3 linked regions of the Styela clava genome follow. The protein of the gene in region 1 interacts with the protein of each later gene in a pairwise test. Links are inferred from orthologs where the notes say so. Each region holds a gene or a part of one and is shown in the gene's direction. Other genes may lie near its edges. The genes, in order: mitogen-activated protein kinase 1-like, splicing factor ESS-2 homolog and deoxyhypusine synthase-like.

Region 1 (8,082 bases):
ACCGGTACAGTTTACCGTACCTTTAGACCACAGTCTACAAATATATCCACGCCAAGCCAAGCAGTGAAGTACGGTCTATCGTACCGTTAGCATTACCGCCATTCACCGGTAACCTCGAAAAACTTGCAATCCGCTGTCACGCCAACGGAGGAGTGCCTGCATATGCGTCCGCAGAACGTTCAGTGACGTCATAGCAAACAAAAACAAACCTTACAGAGCTAACAGAAATATTTGAAATAAATAAAAGTAATAGCCTTCTGGAGAAAAATTTCATCTTTAACCACTAAAAATTTCAAAGCAATTGGTCCGATGATCAAAGAGAAAAGCATTTTTTTAATATTTCCACTAGGTGTCCAAAAAGTGTCAAAGAACAACATATCAACAAAACGATCGATATGTCCACTATACGTGTCCAATTATTGATTCGTTAACCAAGGCAAATGTTAATATGAAGACATACATACAAATGAATCCATCTGTAAAAGAAGAATACGAGATGAATCATAATGTGTTTAATCGGAACATGATGGATCGTAGTTTGCAAGTTATTTTTTCCTTAAAATAACCAAGGCGAAACGGGCCGCATGAAACCGGAGCAAGAGCCATATGCGGCTCGTGAGCCGCGGGTTGGTTACCCCTTATCTGGGAGGACATTTTGCTTGGGACACAGAAGAATTCATCACACCATGCAAAAAGCACCCGAAATGGGATCACTCTCTCTATACCTTAGCCATCAAATCAACTTCACACCAATATCCTTTTCATTATGTAAAGCTAATTTGCCCCGGTATATTGGATAACTTTTTTCGCTTTCTTTTTTTTTTTTTTTTTTTTCTAAATAGAATTATATTGAAATAAACAATATCAGTAATACAGTCATAAAAAGTATCACAATGTTTGCATTCGCAATCTAATTATGTTATTAGAAAACTGAGAAAATCTGACATTATATGTATATACCATACAGGGGCAATCATTTAGCAAATAAAAATCTCACCTTTTAGGTATATACCATATAAGGGCAATCATATAGCAAATAGAATAATATTGAAATAACAATTTTTAATTCAGCAATACAGTTATAAAAGGTAATTTCTCACAATGTTTGCAATTGTAGTCTAATAATGTTATAAGAAAACAGCAACATATCACATCTTATGTATTTAAGGAAAGAAAAACAATAATATGTAATTAAATAGCAAAAAGTCACTTGATCGACTATTATATAAATAAATGCCACTTTCTTTTGTGTATCAGGATTTTACCATTTTTCATTGCTATATACCCAACTATGATCATTCTATTAGGGCGCCACCACGCGGAATCCATCGGAAGGTTATTTTGGCTGTTGACTGCTGAGTCGCCCGCCGTGTTGTTGGTTTATAAGGCTTTCTTTTGTGTTCATTTGGAATATGAATCAGCGAAATGTTACAAAAGTTATGTGCCGGTAGCCTACATAATGTTCCTAATGCTGAGGAACGCAAATTGCAAATGCTGAAATCGTACCAGTTTCTCTCCGCTCTGCCGCTGCTCCACTACCGGTACAGCAGTGCAGACTGACACCCCCCTGCACAATACAGCAATATGCTGATATGACCAGGCGTCTAAAATATACCGGTACAGATACGTTTCGTCCTGTGCCGTACTGTTACCTACGTTGTACAAGTAGTCTATGGTAAGTTCTGGCCAATCTGCTTTCTTGATCCCGCTATTCTCACCCTGTTTATAAAGAAATAAAGTATCTATCACTGTCAGCCTATCCTGCTGTGTTCCCTTATTACTGTATTACAGTACTGCATTATTAATTATTGCTTTATTTAGTTATTTTCTTATACAATGATTGTATTGTCATGATCATTTCTGCTTGGTTTACAGACTTTTCGACACAAGCTGTTTCGTCCCGCACAGCCTTAGCCTTTCCAACTACTGACAGACTGAACTACTCGATGGCATTAATCTATTAATTATAAGGTTTACTGGTTTCAGGAGTCGCCGTTCTTACCACTTCATGGCAGCTCCCGCCACGAACGAATCGTGGCGTCTCTTGCCATGGCGCTATTCAGTAATACCGGTATATTCACAAAGTCGTGTACCAGATTTTAGTTTATCATGCGGAATTATATCTATTTAAACCTCAAATCTAACCTCAAATCTATCCAAATTGTATTTATAAAAAAAATGTTCCAACCTACAGACCTACCCAATATTTATTACCATTAGGGGCAGCCCTACCATTACAGCCGACATGCCCTGTTTATGGCAGAAAAATTTTACCCGCCTTTGGTTTTCAATTTGCTGTCGCGGTAACGGCAGCTCGCCATTGGTTTGTGGCAGCTAAAAAGTCAGTTGCCATAGGTTTGGCTATAGCGGCCATGGTTTGGAAATCTTGCCATGGTTTTGCGGCAGCTTTAGACGCCACAAAATACTTGAAACTGCACTTGGGTTTCAGGTTTGAGTGACTGATGACTGATATCCAGTTGCTTTGCATTGTAAAGGAGACACAGAGATTTATTCACATATATTTGTTTAAAACAGACCACAGTTGTGATTTATTCTCGGCGATGTGGCCCCTGATTACCCTGCGCGGGTTCGCAGAATCCTGTGGGGGTTAACTATGTGCAAGAGAATGGCTGAACTCCTTGTCACCGGAGGGTGGTTCGCGTATTAATAGCTGCTGGTTGTTTACGGCTTCTTCCATCATCAACTCCCAATGCGAATGTCAGTTGGGCACAGTTCTCCGATTCCAAGATGTCCCGACATTTGGTTCAATAAAACAAACACTCTATTTGTGTCTGAAACGAGAGTGCTGGCACAAAGGCAGTTCTGCAGATTGCGCCATGCTTGTCTCAATAATGATTTAACATGTGTCAGCCATCACATGACCGAAATTCTCCCCTGCCGATGGTTTTTTGCTAAAATGAATGCTAGGGTAAATTTTTCTCTTCGGTAAATGGGATTATTTTTTTCAAAGTAAACCCATGGTAACGTTTTTAGATTGCGCTTCATCTTAGTTTATAAGACTGTTTCGTAAAGGAAGAGTCTGCATTCACTGTTATAATTGATGTCTTTTATGTTCTAATTGATGTCTGATGTTGAGTGAATTTAATAACATACCCTAAAATTTTGCCTTGAACCAGTTTTACGAAGGAAGAATATAGTACTGTACATGCGCAAAATATGATATACAGTATTTGAGTCTGGGCAAACCTGATAGCGCTTATTATTTCGTAACAAATGAAAGTTTAATCGCTGCCAAGGTTTAGAAATGAACGTGCCGAATGTCGTATGTCTTGACTGAGAAACGATCTTACAATAACTTCTGCAGTATGCGAAAGTTATTGTCTCACTCCAAGAGTAGTGTGATAAATTGTATTCACAACGACAGCAGTGGCATTAGAATGCCAAATTTTTTATAATTCCAAGTTAGCGAAGACTGTAAACTAGAGGGCAATTGTAAATTAGAACGGAAGTTTAAGCAGTTGTGTAACATATATGGTTTGAGAATATTTATTTTTCGCTGTTTAAATAATATGGATACTTGGCAAGATTTCTTGAGGAACATTTAAGACTGAAAATTAGGCATGCTGTAGATCTGAATCGTATTACTCAATAAATCTCAAATAAGCGATGAAAATTTACTCCTGGTACAATTACATTAACAAATAACATGGAACGATTTTTATTGAAAATGCGCCTACAGAGCCGACCTTATTGGGGCGTTGGAATTTTTCGTATGCGTGTGTGCAGTGCAGTCATTTGTATATTCAGTACCCATTAGTTATATATATATACCCATGTTACTGATCAGTCGATCGCGAGCTATTTTGAAGATTTTAGTCGACCGCGGTCGAAAGCAGGTTGGCCACCCCTGCTATATATGATAAATTGTACAAAATTTAAAGCTAAAGGGTGAGCAAATTTTAATTACTGAAAAATAGCCACTCAAAAGAATATATAGACAAAAATATAATGTAAATGGGAAATTTGCTTGTGCAGAATTTTGTCAAGCGAGCTATTTGGCGGTTACTGCACTCTAAAATCTGGCATGGAATACTTTTTTTTTCATTTTATGATCATCATTAATAATGCAAAATCTTTGATCATCATAATATAATAATATTATTGTGTCTATGTATAGCAAATGGTAGTTATTGTTTCTTTTAATTCTGCAATCGCCTTTGAGATATCTATATATAATATATGAGGCATTGCTTAGGTTTAGCATTAAGAATGGAAGGTATAGGTAATACCCAGAAATGGCCAAAATGCAATAATTTACTACTGTATTCCAAGAACATTTTAATACAATATACCCAAATGTGGAATACCAAATATATTTTAAATTCGGCATTTTGGTATAAAGCTGTTGTTAGAAATATTTTTCTTTTTAATTACTAGACCTATCGCTTTGAAATTTTCAGTGGTTGAAGTTCACTGTTGTCGATGTATATTCAATAATTGGTTTGAGTTTGAAAGTAAAAAAAAGCTGAGATACAGTGAGACTTGAACTGTTCTAAATGATGACTTTTCAAATACAAATCGATCTGAATCAATTCTAAAATCGAGAATTCGCATGATATTCAGTATTAGTTGTAATGGAATAGAAGTAAACTGTAGCAGTTTGTTTGATTCATATTAATACTGCTATGCTATTTTATCATGAACATTTTTGAATAGTGATGATTTTTAGGGTTATCAGCTGTTGGTGAATGTGTAGTGAACAACTGTATCATGAATCATGATTAATACTTTTTTGACTGAATGTAAATTGTAACCGACTTCCTGTTTGGCTGAGTTTATGGTACTCTTGCCAATATTTCTGATCACCTTCTTTAGTAATATTTTCCAATACCTTAGATTAAGTTTTTTCAGGAATTGAGCTCAAGGTGCAAGGGTTCTACGCTAGTCAACAATATACCCCAGACTTCTTAGTAGGATGTCAACTCTTCAGAATTCATTAGTTATGTTTGAATGATTAGTCAAATTTATTCTGCATAGATTACTTCATGTTATATTATTTTTATTTTATTAAAATTTGGTTCTGATTAGAAAAATTAAATATAACAAAAACTCTTTCTTTCTTGATTTATAGTTCACATTCACACTATTATAGTTTATATCGTTTGAGGTAAATTTAAAGCATGGAACGTAAGGCTTGTGCTGAGGTGGTGAGGGGACAAGTTTTTGATGTTGGACCAAGATATTTAAACTTGTCATATATTGGAGAAGGAGCCTATGGAATGGTTGTGTAAGTATCTTATTTTCAATACAGAATTGCTACACTGGCAAATAGGTCAGCATTAGAGTTTTTTATTTACTGTTAATGTAAAGTTGGATTTTGTAATAATGTTCTTCTGATAGATATAATTTTCATATTTCAAATGTAGGATACTTGTGTGCGATACTTTTTAATATTAATTATTCCTAATTGATCAATACATATACTATAATTGACTCGCAATAACATTGCAAATTTGCAATAGGGCAAATTTTAAACTAAATTATTTCCCGGTATTGGATATTCATAGGGTGATGTACTTGAAATTTCAACTTCAATTCAAAATAAACTTGAAATTCATAATAAGTTTGTCATCTCGAATTGTTATCTCAAAATATCCGTTAGTTGGATATAGTGTGCATATCAAAGTTTTATTAATATTACTAATTCAGAAGGGTATAAAATATCGATCATGATTATGAGCAAGATTAACCCTGAATAAGATTTATCAGTATTCCGAGAATTATTTTTTCCTCAGCATTTTCATCATATGTTTAGCAGCTCAGTACCTGATATTGTTGTTGTCCATAGTCAATATGATAAATATGTAACATTTTAAATCCTGTATGGGAACTATTTTTCTGAATTCATTGATACTACAATCAATTCTCAAATGCACTTGTATTCTGTAATATAATGAAGTAATAAAAAGAAGATGAATATAGATCTAAAGCTTTGTCATAATACAGTTTCTTCAAACATAGGGTAGAGTTATGAAAGTCAAATATTTACACATTATGTACTAGACATTTTCAACTAATAAGAAATTGTTTGCCTAAGAATACACTGGATAAGATTGTCGTCACATGCTTGATAATATTCAATATTATCATGATCTACCCCTAACTGCTGGTCATGTTGAAATAAAGTTTCTTTGTTTTTATGGACAGAGTACTTGTTTTGAATCTAACATAAAAGTTTCACATGTAATTTTTACAAGTGTACTGTCATTTTCAAGAGAGTGTTCAACTGTATTATAAATAGTTGCATATTACTTAATGGTAACTTATTTTGAGGAAAATGCAATCAAAAAGAATATTGTATATTTTTCTTACAGATTATTCAAAAATGTGTTTTATTTTTGGGTAGTATAGCCATATTCATACAATTCAGATCAAACGAAATTGAAAATCTTGATAAATTGGACTTGGAAATTATGGTATTTGAAAACTTTATTCGATAAAAAGTCATTGCATGAAGAACTGGTAGAGGGAATAAATTATTAAATAAATTTATTCCACGAAAAAAATTATATTCTTGAGCTCAGGTGACATACGTCAACTGTCACATGACCAAAATATTTGCACTTGTTATAAACTCGAACTATGGTTTAGGTCTGCAATGGACACATTCAAAGGAACAAAAGTGGCTATCAAGAAAATTAGTCCATTCGAGCATCAAACTTACTGCCAGCGTACTTACAGAGAAATCAAGATATTGCTCAGTTTCAACCATGAAAATATTATTACGATCAAAGACATCATTCGGTCTGCCAATATCGCAAACATGAAAGATGTGTAAGTAGATTTATTTAGTTATAGTTCAAACTTCATCGATTTCACATACATTTTCCAGTACTTATTAACATTGGGCTAGGTCATATTCCTCAACACGAGAAAATAAGTAGCCACTGGATCCCGATTTTCAGTAAGATATTGACTGTTGAGTGATGTGCACTTCAAAATTTTTTCTGTTATATAAAGCCAGAATTTGAATCTTCAAATTTTTCTATTTTGTTCATCAAAAAATTCAAAGCTAAATGTGAATATCCATAATTCAATAAAAAAAGTTTTTAGTCAACATCTCTTTCATCATAAAGTTGATAACGAAATTTGTAATACTGTATGTCCCACAAAAAAATGAAAATCAGATATTTTAATCTGTTAGTTGATTTCAATAAATTGGTGTAAAACTCTAATTGAAGTTTTTAAATTTACGCTATAAAAACACTATTTACCACAAATTTTTATATACTCGACATTTAGAATTCATCATTTTTGTTCTTAGTGTTGCTCTTAATCTTTAATTTGAAATGACCCTTCTAAATTTTTACCTCCTTATAATACATCATATTATCTATAACTCAATTTAGACACATAGTGCAAGATTTGATGGAAACCGATCTTTACAAACTGCTAAAAACTCAGCATTTGAGCAACGATCACATTTGTTACTTCTTGTACCAAATCTTGAGAGGATTGAAATACATTCATTCAGCTCATGTGATTCACCGTGATTTGAAGCCGAGCAATTTGTTGCTAAACACCACTTGCGATTTGAAGGTGATTATTACGTGGTATATATTGATTTATTGCAGTTTCATGAAAGCATGATGTGAGTCATGTATTTTATAGCGATGATAGTGAAGCAAAATATATGAATTCATGATGTGTGATCACCTTCCTATTTGACAGGATGTCAACATAGGCTTGGTGGTAGTACACTTAACTAATAAGGTACTAAATAAGAGTGTGGATGGTCAACATTTTTAAAAATGCAAAAATATGAATGAAATCATGCTACTATATTATTATATCATAATTAAATAAATCCACCTCAGGTTTTTTTCAAATAATAATCAATTATGTCAAATATGCCCCATTTTTCAAACTATTTAAACTATAACCATGGGTGTGATGGCCTTGTGGGTAAAGTGAACGACTTTACTATGTTAAAATTGCTGGTTCAAATTCAATGCCCACCACTTCACCTAGAGTGTAATAAATTGAGTAGGTAATGCCAAATCGGAAAGATTCCGATACTTTCAAAAACTAGTAATTTATTAACTAGAATATCGGTTAGAA
Region 2 (7,916 bases), on another chromosome or scaffold:
TGAAATGGAGTCATCTTCTGGACTGATGTTATGTACAGAAGCTTGTTTATTTGGATCATGTCTTTCACCATATATAGTTGGATTAATTGTCATACTTGTTGCAGGCTCTGCATCTTTAAAATAATTTTTCTATATGAACACTGACATATACAATTTGTTTTTTACTTCATTGTCAGTGTAGAGTGGTTCACGTAAGCACTGGTCGGTTCATCTTCCTCTACTATCAAGTTCATGTATCTGAAACAAATAACTGGCTAACTAATCTTATACCCCACATGAACTGGTAACCAAATAAGCGACCGTTGTTCGCCATATAATTGAGCCATATTATCGGCTTTCCTCTTTCTCGGAATAAACACGGTATGTAAATCCTATCCTACCAGGTGGAATTTTCCAGAGAACAAATTGCTGCTAGCAAATTTCACATGCATAAAAATAAAATTAACAAAAACAAGCTCCGACTCTACAGCTCTGGGTAAAATATTATTCTTAGTTGAACAAATATTGTAAAAATATTAGGATTAATGATTCAGAGTGGATTGTTTAAAATCGCAGTAAAAATTAATCAATTTAGAGAATCACTGGTAATTTTCAAAAATTGGACAAAACCTATGGGTAAGAACGTTGAACTTAACGATAAAAGCATCTCAAGTCACAGATCGTTGATTCAAACCCCATTACCAATTACTCATCCAGGGTGTGATATATTGGGTAGAAAATGCTAAACAGGATACATATCGAAAATATCAGTTTCTTACATGTCAGTGTCTTACATGCCTGTCTCTACTCGACTTTGTTTGAAGTAAAATGCGTGAAAAAGTTTCAGATTACTGTTGCTGTTGTTGCAAACTCTAGGTAATTTAGTCAAATCTATGATACTTTAACCAGAATATCGACAGAGACCGAAGACTTATCATCGAAAGTTAGGGGATCCCCAAAACAGCGCTCTTACTCCATAGTGACACCTTGTGTCACATCACTAATTAATTAATAACTCGCTAATTATACGACATAATTCATCCAAAATCAATAGGCTTCTGGTCCGACATATGATGAATGAACATGCAAAATCTGGAGCAGATTCAATCTCGCTTTCGTGAGATATCACGTGCATCTAACAGACAGACAGACAAACAGACAAATACCTATCAACATACTTACCGATTAAAATTGATAAGTAATCATTATAAATTGAAGGATACTCCTCAAGTATGCGCACCAAGATGGCACATAACCTGAACCCTAACCTGGTACACAACCTGAGTTCAGGTTGTGCGCCATCTTGGTGCGCATACTTTTGGAGGTCCAATTAAAGTTCATTCATATATACTCACCACTATCAATGTCAATAAGTTTTTCATATACATCACTCATAGTAAGTGATGGTACAAATTGTACTGTCCACCTATGCATCATACTTGCAAATTTTTCAAATACTGCCCCACCATTTAATGATGCCGAAGTCCACAAGCAAAAATCCCCAAAGTAAGGTACACAAATAGATGATGAAGGTACGGTTGCAGAATATTTTAAACTATAATGTTCAATTCCCGATTGGATTGGCAGTATTGTAGAAAGTTGAGCTGCTGTGCCAAGGTTGAAAACTGAACACATTAAATGAAATATTTTTTTTCATCTGAAGATTCACTATTGATGTTCGTGGTAAGAATGGATTGAATTCTTGTGACATTATGAATATTAATTTAGAAATATTTACAGCTACGGTACTGTATATGTTTAGGAAAATGTAAAAATATAAAAAATCCAAATACAATTTGAAACTTCATTAATGTAATAGTTTAAGTGTTCAGTTAGAGCTACAAACAAATATCGTACTAATCAGGGTATAAAATAATTTGAATGCTGACTAGAATTTTGATGTTTTTACACTCTTAACACAAACTGACCTAAAATATATTCTTAGCATAAATATTCTGAGTATTAGCTCTGTTCATAGGATAGGTACGTGGGGCAGTCGTTTACTAGCACTACCATTTTCGAGTACGAGCCTCAATAAATAAGAAATTTATGTTTTCCGAAAAAGCACATAACCATTAACACATAACCAATTATTAATTGTGTATACATTTATAGATACACCCAAATAATAATATTTACCACCAGTCGAGGAATCTGGATCACAGGAAAGCACAGAACACTGCATGTCACCAAGCCCAACAGTAATATCTATACCAGCCGGTATATCACACCAATCTATTTGTGACTTTCCAACAATGTTGCCTGGATTTACAATGTCTGGTAAGAAATTTACAGGAAAGTCATTTTTCTTCAATCTGGAAAATCGGGTAATATAAAAATAGGTAATAGCCAAAAATGCATTACAATAAAAAAAGATATCCTATAGGAATAAATAAAAATCATGGTAATTTCTTTCAGCAAAACTGGCTGATTATTTATAAAAGCTCCTCCAAAATGAGTATGTAATAGTCATAATTGGAACAAACACTCAGATTAAAAAACACACGGTAAATATGAAAAAATAACTAAACATTGCCATTCTTACTACCTTACTACTAAAGCAGTATTGGTAATGATGCAGCAGTGTTTTGTTAATTTTCTCTTTTGGGTTAAGATTCATGTTAGTTCTACGATCATCATAAAACAAAGGTTTCCATACTCTGGTTACAATGATGTAACATCAGTCTTGTTCAACAAAATAAAAAGAAATCAAATGAAAGAGATAAAATATTCACATTTTCAAATTCCACTTCCTATCAATGAAGTTGTAATAACCCCAACTCATTGCATTTTGAGTCGACATTATTGGTTTTCTGAGTTTGCACAAACTTGCAATAACATAATCCATTATTGTTCCAGCACAATTGTATTTTGATAAAATCTCAGGAGAATTTTTTCGCAGCCAAAACATTGTTGCACATCCAAATCCTCAAATGAAAGAAAATATAAATTATAAAATGGATTGAAACAACAATCCCAATCAATGATTCAAGTACCATATGGAGTATTCACTGTTAGGTGTTCATATTCAAAGAATTGCTGAAACTTGAATATACTCTGGAGTGATTGACACCTAAGTATGGTTCTGTACCAGCCATGTATCTGTGAAATCTAGTTAGTTGTCCTGTAAATGACCTAGATTAAAAATTGAATGGAAAAAAACATAGTTTTCCTGCAACTTCCTACTATTCAAATAAAAGATTTAATTGCAGATATTGTATGATAATCAGAGTGTAAAAATCTCACCAGCAATTCAAAAATGATTTGAAAAAGGTCGGCCAAACTTTCTGTAATTTTAATTACCGGTAGTTGAAAGTTCATTTCTGAATTATCAGAAATTCAATCTTTTAGATAAATCACACATACATCAATAACTTTTTTTGCCATACATTTACCTGTAGAAACAGGGACACATTTTTCTGGAACAGGTAGTGATAAAATGAATTCCGAGTCACACCTCTGATCTTGCCATGTTATTAAATTAGAGCAAGGATAATATATTCCATCATTTTCAACACTGGTCTGATCGTCACTGTTCCACAGCACACAGCCATGCATTTGGCCACATATTGCTACAATATAAAACAAATTTGATAAAGCATTAATATATTTTAATAGGGTGTCATAACTTTGCCCCAAATAAAGCTCCACCAAGCAAATACCAACATGTGTATATGAGAAAGAAAAATTTGAAGCATATGATATGAGCTTTATATCAGGGTTTAACACATGCCAGCGATGTATGCTACAATCAACAAGGATCATCTGTGGCTCAATTTTGATAGTTGCTCAAATATTGTAGCTCTAATCCACCCATCAGAAATGAGCCACAGATAATCCAACTCAATTTCAGACTCCCTCGCAAACATACCTCATGCTCCAATATAAAGTTCATAACATATACTGTGAAGTTGTTTTTGTTATATATATATATATAAACAACCTCTGAGTGAATTTCATTCATCTATAGCATGTTACATGAGTGCAAGATATAATATTTAGTTCAACTTTCTCTTATCCATAAGTTATACTCTTTATCATGTAATATGTAACTACTAATCTAGATTTCACTTTTAAAAGCAACTTTATTGACCTGATAAAACATATAAATACATGATATTGAAAAGAATAAAACTTTCTTGGACTTGACTGCCATTGTTTCTATTTCTGTATTTAGTAAGAATTATCAGAAACAAAACAAACAACTGTTGACAGTAACTAACAAATTGTATTTATTGTAGTTATTCTTGTCCCTATTTCTTCTTTCAACAATCTCAAACATTCCTTTAATGCTGTCAATATCTTGGTTGGATTTTGTTCAAAGTGTGATACATTGTCAGAACTTGTTAGATTTGCATTATGACACAGATTCTTTGAACCAAAAATCTGCAAAAAGATTTCCATTTGTTTTGATTGGAAGAATTTTCAGCTACATGGTTTATTCTATTTTTAAACTGTAAAGAATTATTTTATTCAATGAATTTCAATAAATGTGGCACTTTCGCGAGATAATTCTCAATGGTTACCTAGATTTCATTAAATGGTTACATTGTATTTTACAATCAACTGTGACTAAGCAATAAACCAGTGCAAGTATCATATGATTCAGTCAGACGATAGAATAAGCGCATGCTATTTCACAAAATATAGCGTTATCGGATCAAACCTTTGGTTCTCCATTATCTTCTGAAACCACGACAACCTTCACAGATGTGGTGCCAATATCAATCCCAAGTACATCAGTCATTCCCTCAAACTTTGCAAAAAACAAACTCCCCAACACAAAACGCACGTGTGTTTATTTACAAATTACGTCATAATAAAAGTTCCGTGATGGATGAGTAAGCTCGATATTACCAGCTGATGTTTCTTTCGTAAAATCTGAAAACAAGACGTATTGCGAACGTACGGTATGTACATACAGTTTGCCGTATTGTCGTACATTGTTTGATCATAATTACAGTTGATAACAGTTCTGCAGTTAGAGTGGGCGTTCTACTGTTCTACGATTGTAGAAGTGGAATTTTTAAAGTTAAGTGTGCCATTCCTAAATCACTGTCTGAGTTGCTAGTGCTGCTGCTGTAAAGCTGTACGGTATACCACAGAACAGCAGAATGGCATTGGAAACATATAATAAACTGACAGGGAAAAGACGTCAACAACCCCAAGTTTTGGATGAGGAAACATATACAGAGGTAGGCCTACGATAACATATTTACCCAGGCTACAAGCTTGATTTTTAGTCAGTTAATTTGAATTAATGCCTCATACAGTCATAGAACTTGACTGTTTAGAATAACTTCTGCTTGCAGTCATGCTGCCATTTTTTGTTTCTATCAATATGTTGAGTAAGTAGGTACTGAAATTGACAAAAACGTGAAATTGCCACCAAATTCGAGCCATTGGTCTGTTGGTAGAGGTAAAAAACATTTTATTATCACTTTAATATAGTCTAGTTATTCTTAAAAAACTTTTAAAAAGATGAAATATTTGCACATTTTACATATCTGAATATTGGTCTGTAATTAATAAAACAATATTTTTAGAATCTTGAAAGAATCATCACCCGTGACTTTTTTCCCGATCATGAGAAATTAAAAGATCAAAAGGAATATCTAGAGGCCGAAGAGAAAAAAGATTTTGAGAAAATGAGACAAATTGCCCTCAAGTTTTCAAGAAAGAAAAATCAAAACAATCCAACATTTACTCCAAATACTGGTAAATTATGAATCTCAGATAAATATTTTTACGCTTTCGAAGATCGGGCGGAGCTATGGCTTAGCTGTTAGTACACGTATCTCAGTTGCAAGCGCCATCCATGATGTAATAATTTAGGTAGACCGAGCTGAACTGCTACGATGTCGGTCACACCATAAGATATACATGTTCTTCCTTCTCGATATCAATATAAGAGTCCATAACCAATAAGGTGTATGAAAATATATTGACAGATTCAAATCTTATGATACGACGAACTTTAATGTGATCACATGATCATATTTACAATTCTAAAATATGTATTTTCGTTTATAAACATGAAATAGATGAAAAAAGTAAATGTACTTGTAACAATGTACTTGAATGCATTTTTGTTATACTCTCTTTTACAGATTCAACGAAACTGCCACCTGCCACATTTGACACTCCTGTAATTGATGAAAAAATGACTCCAAGCTCTAATTTGAATTCAAAAAATCTTGGGTAGGTTTTTATTAATTTACTCTATATGCTGTCAATCATAAGTGGCGGGCACGCCACACATATGTACAGTAGGCCGACATGGTCTTGTATATGACTCTTGTTCCAAATTTAATATCTTCATTGCTATGTATTTATTTATGGGATGTATAAACAATCATACATACAGTCGAGTACGGATATCATTCAAAAGGTTTTCTCCTGTGTTTATTTAAAGTTCTTCAGCAATCACATTTCTACATTTTTTCTTGCATTTATGATAAATGTTTACAATAGTTTAAAAATGTCGTTATGGTAGTTTTCACCTCATTGTATTTTTATGTGGCATTTTTCATGCCTTACACCCTGAACAAGGCTCTGTACAAAACAACCACTGCTAGATAAGGAACTACTATGATTGGGAGGAGAGAAATCTTCCCAGTTCAGCATTTCCTACCCAATTTATTATATATATCCTGGGTGAGGTAGTGGTGGGCATGGGATTTGAACCTGAGTATTTCATCTGCAATGCCCGCATAGTTTCGTCTCTCTGACCACAACCTTTTATGGTTCGCGGCCCCTTTCGGAGGCTTTTAGCAGTCATGTTCATGGGTCCCCTGTTTATCATTCCAGTGATATTTATAGGTTTAATTTGATTGGTAGATTTCAAATCCCGTTATGTTCAAACAATTCATGCTCAACAAATTTAAAACACCTTGTGAAATAATCAATATCAAGCAGTAATACTAGATAGAACAGGGAGTTTTCTTATAAAGTGAAAAGTGAATTTGGTTACGACTAGCATTGGGGCCCCCCTCCAACTGCTCTGTGTAGGGGGCCATAGGCCCCAAGTTGGGAACCGCTGTTCCAACCACTAGGCCGGCTTACCATAATTTTTATGGTCACTTGGTGTCTGTACAGGATTGTAATGCCAGTCTCTTGGATTGTCAAAATTACAGTATATGATAATCACCAAAATGTTGTTATTACAATAAATAATGATTTCAACTCTTTGTAATTATAGTTATGATAAGAAAGACGTATTACTGAATGAAGAGGATCAAGTTAAACAATCGGATGTTAGAGATGGTTTGAATTCATTTCTCGGCAAATATACAAGTGAAGATAATGAATCTTTCGAAAATATTATGGAAAAGTTAGTATTACTTTGCTTTGATAATATAAGGTCTAAGTAATAATCGTAAGGGCTAATTCCCTTCTCTGTATAATTATGCCCAGAGTTGGGCATTTAGATGTCTTGGAGTTTTGTCTACAATAATAGTAAATGTTTAATATAGATTGTGTCTGTGTCACATCTAATTTCATTCAAATTCTCAACTATATCAATGAAGAAGAAGAATTTATTATGAATCATATGGCATAACTCTAAGCTCTATTCAGAGCTGGGTTATATTTTAGAAGTTTATCTGTTGATGATGCTGAGAAACTGTTAATGATTTTTCACAACTCTGAGTAGCATTATTCAAAAATCACCATGGCAATGGTTTATATTTTTATCAGGGCCGAACAAGATCAAAGAAATAAATATTCATGGCTGTATGAAGCAGAATTGAAACATGCCGAAAATACAAAGAAAATGCTCATGTTACAAGGTGGTGATACGAACAATAAGATGCTGGCAATAACAGATGGGTCTGAAAATGTGAGTTGCATTGTTCTATAAATAAGCTTTTGTATAATACTACGGTATATTCAATTTTTATAACTGATAGAAACATATTTTAAATTTTGATTTTGGA
Region 3 (7,961 bases), on another chromosome or scaffold:
CCCTGATGATAACATAGTTAAGCACAGTGCTCTAACCAATGGGCCAATGATTCCTAACCTTTTTAGCAAAATGAATCTTGGCAGATGCAAAATACTGAAAATTAGATTTGTTTATTAGGGCAACTATAGAAACATGATTTATTGCTTAACATTTGCTACATATGTACGTGCAAGACTCATGCGGACCCACTCAAGCCTGCAACCTTACTAGGCCACAGCACCACCCTGTGTTCGATATCAATTAATCGAGAATTTCTGATCATCCTCCACCTCCTGATAATAGCAATTTTTAAATGGCCAACATCTTACCGACCATCCATTTCTTCATTTTGTTTTGAACACTAATAACAGGTGCTGGGGAACCTAACTATGACAGTATGGAATCAAATCCATATAGAAGTAAGTCCCAACGAAGAGAATGGGAAATCAAGGCATTGATGGAAAAAATACAACCAGATATGATCACACTTGATCCTCATCAAATTAGTGCAGTTGATAGAGTTACTGCACAGCAATTAAGGAAAGATAAAGAGGAACGAATGGTAGGTTGGACTAATGTGATGTGACTGCTCGGCACAAGTGGTTTTAAATTCATGGGGCCGTTAAGAAAATAAAAAGCGCTGATTTTCTGATGAGGGGTACCAATGTCCACATCAGTGGTTAAGCCGTCCCACGCCCAATCTCTCACGTCCAATCTCAAAAATAACTAGCTAACAATATGCTACAAATAACAAACAGTATGGCGAAAGTAGTATGTTTTTTCAGAAAACACGTTAAAAATATGTGCACAAAATAAGGCTGGCAAAATCGAATTTAACAAATATTTTTATTTTCAATTTGCTTCACGTCCGCTCAAAAAATTGTCTACTTCCCCCTTGTGGGGCGCGGCCCACTGTTTGAAAACCGCTGGTCTGAATAATGAAATATTCTTGAATTCTAATATTTGGTGCTCCCAAAGTATGTGCACCAAGATGGCACACAGCCTGAACCCTAATCTGGTACACATACTATGTTCAGAATCTGCGCCATCTTGGTGCACATACTTCTGGAGCTCCAAATATTTTATATTGCCCTTTTGCAGTAAAAATATGAAACTAGTCCAGTTAAATCAAGTTTCACTCAATAATCCAATCAATAATAAAAAAGGAAAAACTTTTATAAAAGTTGAAAGGCATTGAAGCACACACCTTGGCAAAGTCTGAGGAACACCTGGCATGAGCTGCAAGTGTACCCATATCTTTCAAGGCTGGAAGCATATGGTAACCTATGTAATACACAATGACCAGTCTCAGACCTTCATCAGAAATGTCAATCACAGTCTAAAACACTGTTTGACAAGGTTAATCAGTCTGACTCAAATTCCCTTGTTTTTTGACAAATCTATGTAAACTTCTTATTCTAATAATGGTTGGTGCATGGTGGTACTGTCTTGAAGAAGGTTGTTAGGTCATGAAAAAATGTTGAATACAAAATCCATTTTCTTTGGAAAAAATGCTAAAACAAATTGGCTAACATTAATATATATTCTACCAAACATTCGAAAAGAAGTTGTATTAGAAATAAATTCCAATTGTATGATCGGGCAAAATTGAAATACTTGTCTGAAATTGGATTTGAGTTCTGGCGTTTCATGATTGTTGCTTATTATCATGACAATCCAAGAACGGTTCAACAGTAACCTGTGCGAGACCCCTGAATCCCACCATTTGTTATCTTTGCTTTTGATGTATTCAGGGCTTCGTGAAGGAAGAGAAAAAGTTTGAGCCTAAATTCAAGAAAAAGGGTCGAAGTTCTGCTGGAAATATTGAAAAAAGAAAACAAGTTGTTAAAGATTCTGAACTTCGAGATAAAATCAAAAAGGACATGGATTTGAAAAGGAAAATTACAGAACAACCGAAAGATGATGAAAACAGCAATCCTTATACTTTTGAGGTTTCTGGCGGCAAAAATGTTAACAGATCAGCATTATCACGATTTGTCAAGAAGAGGTGATGTCCTAGTCATGCACAATCAGATGATGAGTCAAAGCATACAAGGAAGATTCAATTTCACTTTAGTCAAATTGTCCTTAAATATGAGCCACAAATTGGCGAATCATGTGTAATATATATGCCATTCCAACCAGTGAGGCAATGAAACAAATCTAAGTTTCCAAGAATTTGAAATTTACAAACCTAACCTCTTAATATTCGCTGGTAGTGCCATAAAAAGGGACCACCAACTTTTCGGACTACAATGTCGCATACGACCTGTCCTATGAATCCCCATTTATTTGTATATTATTTTTTCAAACATCTAAGGTGACTAAAAATATAAACTTAACACTACGAAGTTTAGAAACCCTTCTGTATGCCATCTCGTGGGCTGAAAAATCTGTAAAATTCAATGAAAGGCATGTACCAATTTATAAGTCCCTAACTGGTGTAGGTGAGAGAATGTACTTCGCTCTATTCCTCAATGCCACTTCAGCTGTAAACGGTTCGTGAAAGTCATTTAATGCTTTCATATAATGCTTTTTCTGTCACCGTGGCTTCACATTTCTACAAATTCTCGTAGTTATATTGTTGAACTTACGATAGGTATTTGTCATAAGTGGAGCGTTTGTATGTGTCGTTTGGGTTATTAGGCTGATATTTGCCGGGTGTCTCAAATATGTCGTAACCAACTTGTCCCAGGGCAAAGTGAGACGAGACATTTTCGAGACACCGATATTTGTCTAATTCAATCAACCGAGAGAGTTTTCTCAAATGTTGTCAAGCGCATTCAATTTTACCGCCGAAATAAAAGTTGTGCTTTTATATAAGTGTTAAAATTGAACAGAGATTCACGTAGTTCTGTGATGTGAATTAGGCATTGTCAGTCGTACCGAGAGCATCTAAATTGCTAAGACCAGCCATATATACCAGTAATTCGGGCGTTTTTTTCTTTTCATTTGAAAATACCATTGCAATTTTACAACGTTATTTATGGGGCTATTTGTTCAGAAAATAAGATTCTAGTCCAGTGGGTTATACATCGTTGGACTTACGAACCGTGATGTAATGTAAATGCGGATATGCAGTGATGCCTCTATCATGAACGGTTGCTGTCAATACCGTATCCTTTTCAACCGCCGAATGCCAACGATCTTCCGACCTTGCACAACAAACTGGTGCTTTAGTTCGTTATTGGTGTTCAGTTTTGAAGTCCAGTGTCTTGTCAATATTTCAGGTACGTGTATCGGAGTTATAGCCTACGTGTTCTTATATATCTGTATGCAACTTTGCATTATGTGACCATTTGGCGATTAATTTAAATTTGCCACGGAGGTGAACCTCCACTCACAACAGCGTAAATTTTGTAATTAGCAATTGTCCAATTCGTTACTAGGTGTATAATATATACTTGAGTTCTTAACGGTAGAATACAAAGGAATGGGATTCGCTTGTAAGGCGGTCGAGGCAAGCGATCAATATTGTACAGTGAAGGTGATGTTAGAAATAAAAGACTTTAAGACTCCAATGAAAATCTTTTCTTAGAAATAAATGGCGGTTGGCTACCTTACGAACAAACAACTAAAGACAAAAATCAAGAGACGCTTTTTTGCGATGATTTTTGAGTAAGCCGCGCAACCTTCGGTAACCAGACGGTCGTATGTACACGATGTTAAGAAATAACAAAATTTCGGCATTCTGGCGATTGGGAACTGCTCTTCCAGAAAATGATGTGTGTGTTTTTTTGTTTTTTTTCAAATGTTAATCCTGCAATAACATTTTGAATTTGAGATCACTTTAACAAGTCAAGTTGTTATAAAACTTCTGGCATCAGAAATCCGACATCATAATAACAGTTTAGGCATAGAAGCGAGAGGTGGGAGTGCATGGTTCATAAATAAAACATAACTGATAATAAATTTATCTTTGTATTAAAAAACGAGTCTACGATAATGAAGATCCGAAATAGTAAGTAATATAATAACTATTCGATTCGTTTTTGCTAAGAAGATAAATTTGTATATATATATAAATTAGTATTTTCTTGACTTTGTTAAAATATTAAGGCATTATTAATTACGCTTTCACGCATATAGGGAGATTTAAGATGATACTCGAGAAAGAAAAAAGAAATTATTCAACAGGACCAATATTGAGGTCTAAATTAGTCTGACCTTCTCGAATTATTTTATTAGAGACTGGGGCAACGAAGATTTGTCAATGGAAATTTTCATGGTCTATATTTATGAATTTTTAAAAGTATACATTAGAATACTTACTTGGCTTACCGACAAGTGTATTTCCCCAAAATCGAGCTGTAATTTTGTGCTGGATGGAAAGCAATCAGATTGTGTTCTGATCAGAATAAATTTTATCATAGAAACGCTTATAGGACAAAATGATCCAAGTGGCAGGAAGCATAAACGGAAAACAAAGTAAATTATGAGAGCTATTTTACTTCTCACTCGAGAAATTAAAAAGATTCTAAATGACAGAAGTTTTGAAGGACAGATTGCATCGTTATCAGGTCCACAATCTCTTCATCATTTTACCTTCTTAAACAATAAGACAAGCAAAATTGACGTTTACCTCACCTCAGAAGAGATTCAAAATTTTAAACAATTCCACTTTTGTATTAAACCTAGTAGTATATATTTACGATTAAACTCACTAATAGCAGGGTTGTCATTTCAGAAAACTTTGTCAAACTTGCAAGGGTTCTAAAAACAAGATTTGTTAATTGTCATGACATTCCAAAAACGGTGCACCTTCGAGTCCCTCCACTAGCAAGCCAATAAGTTATCAAAATTCAGGTAGTCTTGCAATACAGGTGTTAACTTGGTAATGAGGATAAGTTCACAGTTTATTTTTTTTTTATCAACGATGCAAATATTTCACAGATATCTAGTAATTCAATACACTGAAGTAGATCATTCAAAATGTCGGCACCTTCGGAGTCAGTTGGAGCTGTTTTTGTGAAAAGTGAACGAATGCCAAAAGCTTCGAAAAAAGTTTCGGGTTACGATTTTAATGATGGAATTGATTATCCTACTTTGCTTGGATCTTATAGAACTTCTGGATTTCAAGCTCAAAATTTTGGACGCGCTGTTGAAGAAATAAGTAAAATGGTAAGCTTACCGAAGAAGTAGGCTACTCAATTTATGATCATCTATATACCCTTCGTGGTTTAATATTATACGATTTAACCTCGGTTCTCAATTCCTTTGTCATGATTTTCAATAAGTATGAGAGAGAAGGACATAAAAATAGAATTATGTCGTATTCTTTGTCTTTTGTTTTAATAGGATACTTTTCACGGTAATTACGATATCGGTGTACTACAATACATATCCTTAAATCATTGTTATACGGGTACTTTACCATTGCAAAAGTCTGAAAGTGCTGATTTTAAGAGTATTGTTGCGAATTGGTGCATTTAGATTGGTTTACATATTTAAAATCATCATTTAGCCCCAGAAGTTCAGGCACTCGTCATAATAAAAGTACCTACAGCTAAGCTCGATAAACCCCATTCTTCGATAGTGTTTTCGATAAAATCAACCAAAGTAAGACATTTCCGTTCATATATAGGGGCTGAATTATTTGATTGACAACTATATATTTCGTAAAAATAACTAAAAACTAAAAAATAGTACTGAAAAATACGAAAATAAATTAACGTTCACAATCATGAATCAAGCCTAAAAATTTGTCTGAGTGAAAAAAGTGACTAAAAATATGCCTATATATTCTAATTGTTACGTCACTTTTACCTTCCTGCTGATTCGACTTCATCGCGAAAATGAGCAAAGAAATGCTCGTGTAAATGTTCATTCATTGTCATTTTGCTAGTTTGCTACAGCCATTTCAGCCATTTTGGGGGAAGCACCTTATATTACCCTGGGTCAAAGGTTGTGGATATGAATGAACACGTGAGTAACCTGGAAAAGAGCACAACACGAAGAGGTTCTTTTAGATCGATTTGTCCCATTTTCCCCATCCATAGCATGCCCTGACGAGAAGAATATAAAGTTTTGAGAGACATTACTAGTTTTAACGTGTTGTACTGTACAGCAAGGACTGAAGGCAGAGGGCTTTTGTGAAATCATACCGGTACAGTCTGACGGTACCGGTACGTGAAGGCACCGCTGCGGTGTATTACAGTACCTACGGTAACAACAATCGTCAGTATCGTCTACCTGCATCTCAGTTCGGTATGGCGGCTCCCTCGGAGTCTGTAGACGCTGTTTTTGTAAAGAGCGAAGCCATGTCAAACGATTCCCGGATAGTTTCTGGTTATGATTTTAATGATGGGATTGATTATCATAAGTTACTGGAGTCCTATAGGACTTGTGGATTTCAGGCTCAACATTTTGGTCAAGCTGTGGAACAAATTAATAAAATGGTAAGACGTTGGAAAGAAAACATTCTTTTCCCATTTTTTTAGATTTCTAATGATAACCCACCCTGCCACCTGTTGCGCTTGCATCACCACTCGAGTTTGGTATAACCCCATCCATAATTATGTCACAGTGACGTAATGTGGCCCGCCAAAATAGAAAGGAGTCGATCATCTGAAATCGAGAACTGTGGATGACATACTGTTAGATGTTCATTGTTTGTGTATAATTTTTTTGCGAGAAAAACAAAATATACTTATACTTATGCAAAAGGTTAGGAATGACATATGCCACTAGAATTACTCATAGTACTATATCATACCAGACCCCAAAATTATAGACAAAAACTATTTTATATGAAAGATAATAGATTGCTTGCATTTTTAGGAAACCTCTTCTATCGATTACTCAAAACATTTTTTTCTATATGTGATTGTGTCAATAAATGAATTATTATCATTCATTCAAGTGAATGTGTAATATCATGAAATTATTTCTCAGATTGAAAAGAGACATGAACCATTGTCTGAAGATGACTTACAGAAAGTCAATTTAAATCCAATTGTTAGAAAGAGATCAAACTGCACAATCTTCTTAGGGTATACTTCAAATATGATGTCATCTGGTAGGTTTATGAACTTTGTATGAACATGGTCGAAGATATTTTATTTTATGTTTTTTCTTTCTTTTTTTCAACTCTCATTTTCACCTTCCGCTCTGAACAAGGTCATGTACAAGTATCCAATGAATTTTAACAATATATATTGTTGGGAGCTACTGTTTTTCGAAAAACCGTAAGCTTCCCGGTTTAGCTTTGCCTACTCAATTCATAGGACTCGGAGTGAGAAAGTGGGTATTTGAACCTGAGTTGTTGCCTGCGAAACCAATAGAGTTAAGTCTATTGCTTTAAATTTGCTGTGGTACATAATTGTAGTTTAGGAACATGATGAATAAAAATTCATGTTTATGTAATTATTCTTTATAATATTCAACATTACATTTCTTCAAGAAAAATGTGGCACAGCATAGTTTGATTTACATATGATCGATTTAGAGCTCAATTCTATAACACATTATCATGTAATTGATTGATTCAAGTATGTAATATAGGGAATAGGGATGCCCATATAAGAACAGTGTACTTCTCTACAATTCTGTCTTCTAATTTGGCAGAAAATGATGATAATTTACTATGTTTTTTGCCAGGTATCCGTGATACTATCAGATTCCTAGTACAACATAATCTTGTTGATTGTATCTGTGTGACGGCTGGAGGAGTGGAAGAAGATTTCATCAAGTGCCTGGCTCCTACTTACCTTGGAGATTTCAAATTGTCTGGAAAAGAATTACGGAAAAAGGGAATTAACAGGTTGAAAACATGAATGTATCCTGATCTATGCATTGAATATACAATATTATTGATATTGGAATAATGATGATGTCGAAGCAGGGTGAATGTACTCTTGCCACTGTACTAAGGAATAAGGAAATTATAGCTATTTCTCGCAAAGATATATACAAGATTGTTTTTATGCTTGAAGATGCATTTGTTTATTACCATTGCATTATATTTTATCATCCTTTTTGT

What was found.
Region 2: the proteins of mitogen-activated protein kinase 1-like (region 1) and splicing factor ESS-2 homolog interact in a two-hybrid assay, tested with the Caenorhabditis elegans proteins (3 studies listed by BioGRID). The link is inferred for Styela clava from reciprocal best matches to the Caenorhabditis elegans genes mpk-1 and ess-2.
Region 3: the proteins of mitogen-activated protein kinase 1-like (region 1) and deoxyhypusine synthase-like interact in a two-hybrid assay, tested with the Caenorhabditis elegans proteins (2 studies listed by BioGRID). The link is inferred for Styela clava from reciprocal best matches to the Caenorhabditis elegans genes mpk-1 and dhps-1.

What each region holds. Positions count from the first base shown.
Region 1 is NC_135252.1:7,506,292-7,514,373, reverse strand, and holds the start of mitogen-activated protein kinase 1-like, read left to right. Parts: upstream 1-5,074; 5' UTR 5,075-5,141; coding exon 5,142-5,248; intron 5,249-6,612; coding exon 6,613-6,795; intron 6,796-7,370; coding exon 7,371-7,560; intron 7,561-8,082. UniProt on the Caenorhabditis elegans protein: Functions in let-60 Ras signaling pathway; acts downstream of lin-45 raf kinase, but before the lin-1 gene product in controlling vulval cell differentiation. Plays a negative role in proximal germline proliferation in the mitotic zone.
Region 2 is NC_135253.1:8,327,364-8,335,279, reverse strand, and holds the start of splicing factor ESS-2 homolog, read left to right. Parts: upstream 1-4,909; 5' UTR 4,910-5,093; coding exon 5,094-5,174; intron 5,175-5,525; coding exon 5,526-5,697; intron 5,698-6,089; coding exon 6,090-6,180; intron 6,181-7,180; coding exon 7,181-7,312; intron 7,313-7,677; coding exon 7,678-7,819; intron 7,820-7,916. Other genes in the region: sedoheptulokinase-like, read right to left, coding at 1-113, 1,335-1,604, 2,119-2,294, 2,715-2,907, 3,375-3,551, 4,203-4,365, 4,646-4,726. UniProt on the Caenorhabditis elegans protein: Regulates pre-mRNA splicing.
Region 3 is NC_135254.1:16,768,706-16,776,666, reverse strand, and holds the start of deoxyhypusine synthase-like, read left to right. Parts: upstream 1-4,897; 5' UTR 4,898-4,912; coding exon 4,913-5,101; intron 5,102-5,873; exon of another isoform or gene 5,874-6,189; coding exon of another isoform or gene 6,190-6,378; intron 6,379-6,874; coding exon 6,875-6,998; intron 6,999-7,579; coding exon 7,580-7,742; intron 7,743-7,961. Other genes in the region: WD repeat-containing protein 46-like, read left to right, coding at 352-542, 1,735-1,992. UniProt on the Caenorhabditis elegans protein: Catalyzes the NAD-dependent oxidative cleavage of spermidine and the subsequent transfer of the butylamine moiety of spermidine to the epsilon-amino group of a critical lysine residue of the eIF-5A precursor protein to form the intermediate deoxyhypusine residue.